Mus musculus: one gene and its partner. The protein of the gene in region 2 purifies or fractionates together with the protein of the main gene of each other region. This does not show direct contact. Links are inferred from orthologs where the notes say so. Each region holds a gene or a part of one and is shown on either strand. Other genes may lie near its edges.

Region 1 (5,239 bases), on a different chromosome or scaffold from region 2:
AGAGTTGTACTATTACCGTATAATTTAACTGTTCTCTTGTGATGTGATTTTCGTTGTGCTGAAGCCCACTGTACCTGGCTGCTTTGACAAGCGTGCTATTTTAGCAATGCAGAATGAAACAGAAAGAAAAGAATGCATGGGATGCTTGCTCCGTCAGATCCAGGTTTCTCTGTGCCTGTGTTTGTAGATGATTTGTTCAGGGTTGTTCAGAGACAAAAAAAATGAGGTTAGGTTTTGTTTTTAACCTATGGAACACTGAATGTTCTAGCAGTTACACTCTAGGTGGGCTACTGTCCGTATGCCTTAATAAAAGAAGATTACCCCTTTCTTTCTTTTCATATTTAAAATGCCATCATTATAACTGATTTCTAAATAGAGTCCTGGTTAGGCTAAACTCTGATGTTTTTAACATTGATGTAGGTAGGCATTTATGTATGAGAATAGAAGTTACAACACATTTATCAACACCTGTGCGATGATGTAAAATGGATTTTATATCCACAATGATTCTGGCCTAGCCCCATATGCCAAAGGGTATATAGAAGTTCACACAGGACACCAATGGACAGACCAAACTGGACAGAAAAAGCCCACAAACCAGCAGCTCTACAGGAAGAACTACAGACAGCTGAGTAAAATCGGAAGTAGAAGAAGTGGTCACCCGTGGGAAGAGCACACTAATTGGTCGTCTACTACCAAATGGCTATCCCTGAAAACATACATACAAATAGCACCATACAGGCACAACTGGATGTGTTTAGGAATTACACGTATATACATATATGCATGCAATAATACAATAATACAATAGCAATGTTGTTGAAGAGCAGGGAGGGATTCATGGGAGGGTTTCAAGGGTGAAAAGGGAAGGGAGAAATGCTGTGATTATATTGTGATTTTAATAATAATAAAAACAAAGAAGTACCAACAAAAGAATTTAGTCTTCTTAAGCTCCTTAGCTAGATCCATCTACACTTTTTTTTTTTTAATATGATGACAATTTTTTTCATAGTTTTGGATTTTGGACAAAACATTAAGGTAAAAATACTTGTTTTGGCCTAAGTGTATTCAAGGATTTGGCATATGGCTTCGGGATAGAAGACCTCATCTGCGAGGCCCCGAATTCCATCATCAGCATTGAAGAAAAGAAAGCTGTTTCAGGACCATCTAGTCCCAAAGTCTGTAGTTCAGTAGCCCTTGGTGATGCTGTGGAAGCCTTGCAGCCATGTTCTGCTGTGGTTTTGTAGCTTGACTGCTTTTATGCTTTTATTTTGTCAGTCTGCTTCTGCCCCTCATGATGAACACGTCCCATTCACTTCTATCACCAATTCTTTTGTTCACTCGTTAAGACAAGTCATTGTCAATGGCTTCGAAGTTTGCAGGAACTACACAAGAACAAAGGCACTAGCAAGTTTCTCATCTTTGTGCAAGCTCTGTTTGCGTTGCTGGCACAGCTCAAATACTGCAAGTGTTCACCTTTTCAGCGTGCCCCCTCCCCCACCACAAACCTTTGTTGGAGAATAGATGATCAAACCCATGACAAGTTTGAAGCTGTTAAACTGCTGAGCTGGCCTGAATTGAAGTGTGAGAAGAGGTTTTAAGGCAGGTAGACAACATCCTGTTGTTAGGGTGTTTCTCTCTCTCTCTCTCTCTCTCTCTCTCTCTCTCTCTCTCTCTCTCTCTCTCTCTCTCTCTCTCAATACTGCCCAGTAAGCCACTGCAGCGGCAACAGCAGCAGCAAAGTTTCCTTTTTACCATCCTTCTTCTGGGCCCATCAAAGAGTTTGCTAGGCATGGATGCAGTGACTGTGTACCACGGCAAAATCAGCAGGGAGACCGGGGAGAAGCTCTTACTCGCTACCGGGCTGGATGGAAGCTATCTGCTGCGAGACAGCGAGAGTGTCCCTGGCGTGTACTGCCTGTGTGTTTTGTGAGTATATCTCGTGGTAGTGGCAGGTTGTTAGCATGGGTAGCCTGCCCTTTCAGGGGAGGGCTGGGAGGAGTGGCAGGGGATGACAGCTTTTGGCAGAGGTACCTAGGGAATACAGGCAGCAGGAACTGAGTACTCTTCCAGCTCTGACGTATGGTCCCAGGGCTCAGCCCAGGGATGTGGTGGGCAGTACTTGTACGTACGTCCCTCACTGCGGATTTTATCAACTGCATTTCACCAGTGCGTTTGTGGCAGCTTCACTGAATACCCTTCAGAATGGGAAAACATGGCCTAGAACTTACCTTTACTTTGAGAAAGACCCATACTCTGGACTTCGGCTCTGATTCCAAGTAGACACCATGATGGTGGAGCCCCGGGAAGTTGGACTATTTGTATTCTGGGCCATGAAGTAAGGCAAAGGAAGGTCTTTCTCTATCATTCTCTACAAATGTGACTGAAAATGGTACCCTAAAAGAAAAGCATCTAGCAAATGCTTGAAGAAGTGGTTAGCCAGGAAATGGAATCCATTGCTTTCAGAATGCAGCCCAGGGAAGGCAGAGGTAGACAGATGTGTGTGAGTTTCAGGTGACTAGCCTGGTTTTACATGGGCCGGTTCCATGCCAGCTAGGGCTACATAGTATAAGATCCTATTAAAAAACAGTAGCCAACAACACTAAAGCAGTACAGTGCTGAAGAGGATGTGTATGCAAGAGTAGGGGCACCTTTCTGGTGCTGCTGAATTGCCTTGTTTTATAAGAGGCATAATGAGTTTTAAAACGTGCTGTGTCCCGTAAATGATAGGAGTGAGAATAGTTTTAAAGAACAGAGAGAGGGAGAAAACATCATTGTAATTATCCCACTTTGAGCTTTGCCTAGACTGGTCTCAGCCTCTTACTCCATTTTGAACCAGGTGCAGCTGCATCTTGGCTCTGTACAACCTCCCTGAGCAAATCCTACTGTAGTCAGACTCAAAAGGTTGTTATCTCACAACACCAATCTCTTAGCCATTGATTTTAAATGGGATTCATATTCTAAGGGTCAATGAAGATTAAATACCTCCATGTACAAAAAAAAAAAAGACAAATGAACACTGGGCTTGACGCTCAGCAAATGGAAGTCTGGTTTATTATTAGTCTCTTTTTGGACAAATTATTCCGGTACTCCTTGAGGCAGTCTACAGAAGGACCCAGTTCAAGCACTACTGTAAGCAGGATATATATATATATATATATACATATATATATATATATATACACACACATATACACACACATAATACACACATACATACACACACACATATATATATATATACACACACACACACACACACATATATACTGTATGCTTATACATATATCCCAGTAAAACCTCACTCTAATACAGTAGAGTCTACATGAAAGCAAAACAAAAATGCTTGGTAGTGAGTTCTGTACATGATGATACACTGCAAAAATTTGACGTACTCTCTGGGCCAGAAAATAAAGATTAAATTGAGGCTGGTGTGAGAGGATTGTCATTGTATATTGATTTTTTTAAAAAAATGTCCAAGCCTTATTTTTGTCAGTTTTTAAGATCATGCTAAATACATTTATCATAAAGGCTTCAAGGTAAATATATGGAAAAATCATTTTTCAGTGTTGGGGACAGGATCCAGAATTTTATATGTGCCTGAAAAATGCTTTTTTATTAAGCTAGATGCCCAACCCTGGGCTTGGACCTTTATGTTCCCAAGTGGAACCCTAAGAAGGGCTAGGGAAGCCAATGACAATCCTTAGTTATTTTTAACTTGTCAAAAGATGAAGGATGGTGAGTGAGACGGGCTGCTTTGGGCACACTGATAATAGAAGGAGCATGCTCCTTAACCAGAAGGTTCACATGAAGCCTATATAGGGGAGAGAGGGCTGGAGACAGTACAGCTCACACTTGAATTTTTCTTCCCACCTGGTCACCCCGGAAGGTAACTAAGCCTGCTCCCTACTCAGGATTGTCCAGTTTCTGTTCAACATTGCATCTCTTGATCATTCCCACAAATGTAAGTGCCCTCTCTGGGTTGCTATCCCATTTCTTCTATTCAAGGAACTTTAAACATGCTAATATAAGTTTGTTTACTTATATATGGGCTCTACCACGAAACTACCTTCACAAAGGAGCAAACATTGCCTCTACCAGGACTATATCCTGGTACATAATAGGCACTCAGCAAACAGTTTGGAATTCGACTAACTGTTCAGGCATATGCTCTTCACTATGAAGGGCATCTGGCTGCCAAGAAGCCAGGGTGGGGGCTCTAGGAAGTCATTCAAATTCTCTGGGGCTTCACCTTACATCCGTGTAAAATAGAAACCTGTTGTTTCCTCTGTTATAAAAGATGGCTGTAAGTGAAATCTTGAAGAGAAGGAACCTTAGTATTTTGGTATGTAGGCCGGAACCATGTAAGGAAATTCTCAGCCTTCTGGTTTTCACTCACCGGGGATGCTGTATAAATGTAAGATGCTTGTTTGTTTGTTTTTTGTTGTTGTTACTGTTGACTAACTTCTCTTTGAAAACCTCTCCCTATGAAAATAGAGAAGTGGAGAATTCTCCTCCAGTCTTTAAAATGATGGTCTGTTGTTTTCAAGGTTATGGCCAGACAACTGTGGAAGGAATGCTTTTCTTGCCTTTGATAAGTGCTTCAGGGTTTTGTTTTGTTTGTTTTGTTTTGTTTTGTTTTGTTTTGTTTTGTTTTGAGCTGAGTGCCCCTTTTGCTACACACAAACATTTTATTCTCTCTTATTGGCACTACATGGTACGTGCAACATGTTATTTGGATCCTAATCTACATTCCTTACTCAAAATACTGATTTGTAGGATTTAGAGTAGAAAAAAAAATCATATATGCTTGAAAAAAACCCACAATAGTGTCTGTTTAATCAGTACCACCTTATTTTATGTTTTGTTTATTCTCATTAACCACGAAGGTTTTTGTAAACTTCAATTTACTCTATTTTTATTGTATGGTTCAAACTATGCTTAGAATTGTATTTTCAAACCATATGTGCCTCTTTCCCAGATTAAATCTCAGTCACACGGGACCTTTTTCCTGTTAGGTTTTCGAAAATAGAATGTTTCAAATATTGTAAAAGTCTTCCATTTCTAGGACTGCTACTTTCATTTAAAACAAGAAGCCTTTCTTCCAGTTGTTTACTCTAAATAAAATTAGAATTAAAAGAGCCCATCAAAATAGTCTTTTATACTCATTTGGGATATAGACTTTGAAAACAATGGAATTTATGGAAAAAATTATCTATAATATTATGACTTAAAGACA
Region 2 (5,101 bases):
TATGCAACCATATACCATAGAGGAAGACAGCCACCCTGGGTTTCCCCTCCAAGATGTCCATCGGCTTCAGTTGCATGTCTTACTCATATCAGACACACAACTGGCACTACAGCAAGGAGGCACAAGTTCCCATATAACCAGAGAAGAGTAATCATATACGGATTGCCGAATGGATGTTCCACCTTCGGTTGGATCATGCACTGTAGCCTGTGTCTCACACATAGCAGAGGGTCATGTGACCCCTCCTCTCAGACACAACTTTGTTTTGTTTCTCCCGGTTCAGGCACCAATTGTGACTCCCCCCCCCCCCCTGGGGAGATTTGAGCAAGTATCTCTAATCACCTCATATAGGACTGAGAACAAAACAAAGAAACAGCCCTCACAAGTCCGGATTAGTTCTTTGAGGTTACTGACAGGTGCACGGATGAGGGGTTATCTGTAGGCGTGGGGGTGGTTCAAAGGCATTTGCATACCTGACAGCCCACTCTCAGAGCACCATCAATGACCTAATACTTTTCTACTTGGACCTTCTCAAAGTTGCCACCACATCTGCATCAACATACTGGAGACCAAGCCTCCAGCATCCGAATCTTCCGAGGTCAGAACCACAGGGATTGGGGCAAAAAAAAATAACAACTGAGCCACATTATAAACGAGTAAGATCTGACAAGCATTACAGAAGATGGCACAGACAAGGTGAACATTTTCTCAAGTGCGTAGAGAGGACACGATTTAAGTCTCTCTAAAAATTTCTAAGTTAAAATCATTCAAGGTATTTCCTTTCTTTTTCAAGGTATTCTTCTCTCATATATATTACATCCCTGACAGCAGTTTCCCTCTCTCCTCCCTCCCAGTCTTTCCCCTCCCCCCTTACTTCCCCCAACACCTCCCTCAGCCCCCTCCATCCAGTTCTCTTCCTTTTCGCTCCAGAAAAGAGCAAGTCTCTCAGGGATATCAACCAAACAAGGCATATCCAGTTGCAATAAAACTAGGTACCTCCCCTCATAAGGACTAGGCAACCCAATAGGAGGAAGAGTCCCAAAATCAGGCAAGAGTCAGAGACAGCCCCCTATCCCACTGTTGGAAGTCCTACTAGAAGACCAAGCTACATAATCATTATATATATAATATATATATATATATATATATATATATATAGCACCTAGGTTAGAACCATGCAGGGTCCCTAGTTGCCACTTCAGTCTCTGTGAGCGCCCCATGAACCCAGGCTAATTGATTCTGTAGGTTTTCTTGAGGTGTCCTTGACCCCTTTGTCTCCAACAATCCTTCCTCCACCTCTTCTGCAAGATTCCCCAAGCTCCACAGGATGTTTGACTCTGGATCTCTGCATCTGTTTCCATCAGTTGCTGGGTGAAGCCTCTCTGATGACAACTGGGCTAGGCTCCTGCCTCAAGTATAGCAGATTTGTTTTGCTATGGTTGGTTTGTTTGTTTGTTTGTTTGTTTGTTTGTTTGTTGTGTCTCTGGGCTATCCAGCCTCTGCTTCATGGCTCTCCACACAGTATCAGGAGTGGGCTCCCCGTCCTGGCATAGGTCTTAAGATGGACCAGTCACTGATTGGCCACTCCCACAATTTCTGTGTCACCTTTACCCCAGCACATCTTGCTGGCAAGACAAATCATAAGTAGAAGGTTTTTGTGGCTGGGTTGGTGTCCCAGTCCCTCCACCAGAAGTCTTGCCTGGTTACAGAAGATGGCCCGTTCAAGTTCCACGTTCCCTACTGCTAAGAGTCTTAGCTTACAAAAGATATTCTTGTAAGCCAAGTGTGAAGTTAATCACGACAACCAAAGGTTTGCTAACATAGAGGAAGAGCTCTCATCAATAGGGGAACAGAAAGTCTCAGCGACAAGCTTATGAAAGAATGGCTGTCTCAAGGGCTCCAGCACCCGACTCCGCCTGTCAGAGGATGGTCTGGCTCTTTCCACTTGTCTTCTGCCTCGGCTCAGGTAAAAAACGTCTGTGGAAACTGATTGAGTCACTGAGTGAGTTCCTTCTTTGGAATGCCTTGCTCCTCTTGGTCAGGTTGACTGCCCAGTTCTCTATTCAGAGACTTAGAAAGCTCACCGTGGTCCTAGCGAACTGCTTCCCGCAGACTGCCACGGGACTGATTCAGAGCAAACACTTCGGCTGGGGGCCAAGGGGAAGGGAAGTGTTTTCTGAGATATGGAAAATGAGTCTTTGTAAGTCAGGACTGTTCGTGACCAGCGTATTGTGGTACAAAAATAAGTTTAAGCGGGAAAAAGATCTACAATTTAACTACTGTGATACTGTGCGACTTCAGGGGGCTTCATTATCTTTCCCGAGCTTCACTCTTCGCTCAGATACTGAAAACCCACCAACGCTTTCACACTGCAATTAGGAAGGGATTGACTGAGCCTGCTTCTTCTCCCTGCTATCTGGAAAGCTCTCACTGTCTTTAAGAACTCAGAGGGTGCCTATCTGGACTGAAGCGTAGTGTTCTAAAACAGGAGATCAAGCAATGGCTACTAACACAGACCTAGCCCCGAGAGAATTCATTGAAGAAAAAAAAAAAGAACCAATAGGTAGCCTAGCATTTATTTTATTCCAGAAAATGAGCTAATTATTAAACATGCATTACATTTAGATGTCCATAACGTGTTTGTGAATTTATTCTATTAATAGCTACAAGTAACTTAGACTATGGCAATTTAAATAACTTTTGAAAATTCTATTAGTCATCAGGTAGCTGAAAAAAACCAATAAAAATAAAAACAAATCACTTGACTAAAACTTTCAGTAACAAACACCTGTGTGCATGCACACACACAAACCAAGACATACTGCAGATATAGAGCTATCTAGACAAATTGACAACAGAAAGAAAAAGAAAGCAAGGTTCATTAAGTCATTTGATAAACCATTCACTAAATGACCACTGAATGCACGGCACTGTGGGCGTTTCAGGAACTAAGTCAACACAATTTCTGTTCTGCGGAATTAACGTCTTGGCAGGGAAGATAAACTATAAACAGGTAAAATGTGCACTGGCTTAGGACAAATAATCTTGAAAAAATAAAGCAAAGAGAGAGGAGGGAGAACATTAACGTTGCGTCGTAGGCTGGACAGTCAAAGATAGGGATAGAATTAGGATGGAGGAGCTGACACAGGAGGAAGGTCGGCTCCTTTTCTGATCTATTTGTTTTATGTTATCAATGCAATGGCCAAGAGGAAATTTCCTGGAAGCAGGTGGAAACTGAGGCACAAGGCTAAAGCTGGGAATAGAGACTACGTCAAACTAGGAGGATTAGGAATGTGGACAGAATTTTGGAAAATGCATAAAAGATGCAGAAAAAGATGAGAATTCTTTTACTCCCATCCATCCACGTTGCCTTTTCTTAGCCTGATTCCAGCCAGTGACTTGAGCTTTTAACCTCACTCTGTTACCTCTATAAAGCTGGATAATTTCTGGGTGTCCCTCCTCCACATCTCTGAGGATTCTTCTTTTAACAAGACTGTGACATATCGGGCTCGGTCCCCGTGTGCGGATGTGGATCAGAAGAGGAAAACAGAGCCTAAGTAACAGTTTACTGCCACACAGCTGTGGGGGGAGGGCTTGGAAGAAAAGAACACAGTTGACTGCATCTGCCAGAGAGAGATGCAGGTGGCCAAAAACCCCTCAGTGGAGTGGAACCGTGCTTACCAGGGTGGAAAGTGGAGAGTCTGGTTCCAGGGCAGAAGTAAGCAGGGACACCAAAAATAGGAGAACCTCTCTGGACTGGGTGTTGAGGAAGAACTTTCTGGAATAGGTGAAATGATCTGAGACGTTAAATAGGGAAGGATTCTAATAAAGAAGCATGGGAGGGAGATGGAAAAGGGGGAGGGAAGAATTCGGAGGGATTGGGGAAAGACAAGACCACTGGGGCAAGTTTGTAGGACAAAGAGATGCTCTCTGAGAAGAAGGAGATGTCTCACTCACTACAAGTTTTCAGGTAGGTGAGACACATCCTGATTCCATATGAGAGTCTCAGCTCAAAAATAAGCCATATTGAAAAACGTTTGTGTGCATGTCCGGGGTTTACTTGTTCCGTGTGTCTTTCATGACTTTTTCTCTGCCTTTAGTTTTTAAGACCGGACTCTCAGTGAACTTGAAGCTTGTTCATTTGGTGGGTTGACTGGCCAGTCAGCCCCAGGGAACCTCCTCCCCAGTGCTGAGATTAGAGCAATAGATCAGTTCACTTAGCTTTTTACTTGGCTACTGGGATCTGAACTCAGGTGGTCCTGCTTGTGTGGCAAGCACTTTGCCAACTATGCATTACCCCAGCCCGCTTCATTCCCTTTAACTCATTCCCTTGGAGGCAAAACTAACCCATCCACCATGTGATGTGGCAGTTGCACTCTTCAATGCACAGCAAGTACGCTTCTATTGCCTTGCACAAGACTAGGCCTAACACCATCCTGCCATGTAGGATGACCAATCCTTCGTGTCAAGACCAGTCAGGCCCACCCCTCCCTCAGGACTTTGAAGTGATTAATGGCTGGTTGGGGAGGATGAGACATTTTCCTAGGTAGTGTGGCCACGTGTAAGGTGTCCTTGCCTCTGTACATAGCCCTTTATCTATGCTCCTCTAAGTAACCCGAAGAAACTCATTGGCTTATCAGAAAAAGAAAGAAAGAGAGAGAGAGAGAGAGAGAGAGAGAGAGAGAGAGAGAGAGAGAGAGAGAGAGAAAGGAAGGAAGGAAGGAAGGAAGGAAGGAAGGAAGGAAGGAAGGAAGGAAGGAAGGAAGGAAGGAAGAGTAAGACTGAATTAACTCAGAAGAAGGAAATCAAAAGGTGTGGGAAGGGGTTAAGAGAAAATAAAGAGGGTAAATAAAATCAAAATATATGTGTGTCTAAAAATATATGAAGCCCATTACTACATATAATTAATACATCGTAATCAAGAAAACATTTTTCTGAAACTAGCTTGACATCCAGGTGTGATGGTGCATGTTTTTAATTCCAGTCTAGGATGCTGAGGCAAACTGGGCTACATAGCAAACCAAAATGGGAAAATCCCACCTAGCGAAACAATGACTATACATGAAATCAAGCACCCTGGTGAGTCTCAGCCGCTCCTCCA

Evidence for each region.
Region 1: the proteins of Slamf6 (region 2) and Sh2d1a purify together in Homo sapiens (co-immunoprecipitation; 5 studies listed by BioGRID and IntAct, with this or other methods). This does not show direct contact. The link is inferred for Mus musculus from reciprocal best matches to the Homo sapiens genes SLAMF6 and SH2D1A.

What each region holds. Positions count from the first base shown.
Region 1 is NC_000086.7:42,500,931-42,506,169, forward strand, and holds the start of Sh2d1a (SH2 domain-containing protein 1A), read left to right. Parts: upstream 1-1,634; 5' UTR 1,635-1,792; coding exon 1,793-1,929; intron 1,930-3,889; exon of another isoform or gene 3,890-3,962; coding exon of another isoform or gene 3,963-3,964; intron 3,965-4,391; exon of another isoform or gene 4,392-4,415; coding exon of another isoform or gene 4,416-4,417; intron 4,418-5,239.
Region 2 is NC_000067.6:171,915,827-171,920,927, forward strand, and holds the start of Slamf6 (SLAM family member 6 isoform 2 precursor), read left to right. Parts: upstream 1-1,635; 5' UTR 1,636-1,881; coding exon 1,882-1,966; intron 1,967-3,425; exon of another isoform or gene 3,426-3,530; intron 3,531-4,992; exon of another isoform or gene 4,993-5,051; coding exon of another isoform or gene 5,052-5,079; intron 5,080-5,101. UniProt on the Homo sapiens protein: Self-ligand receptor of the signaling lymphocytic activation molecule (SLAM) family.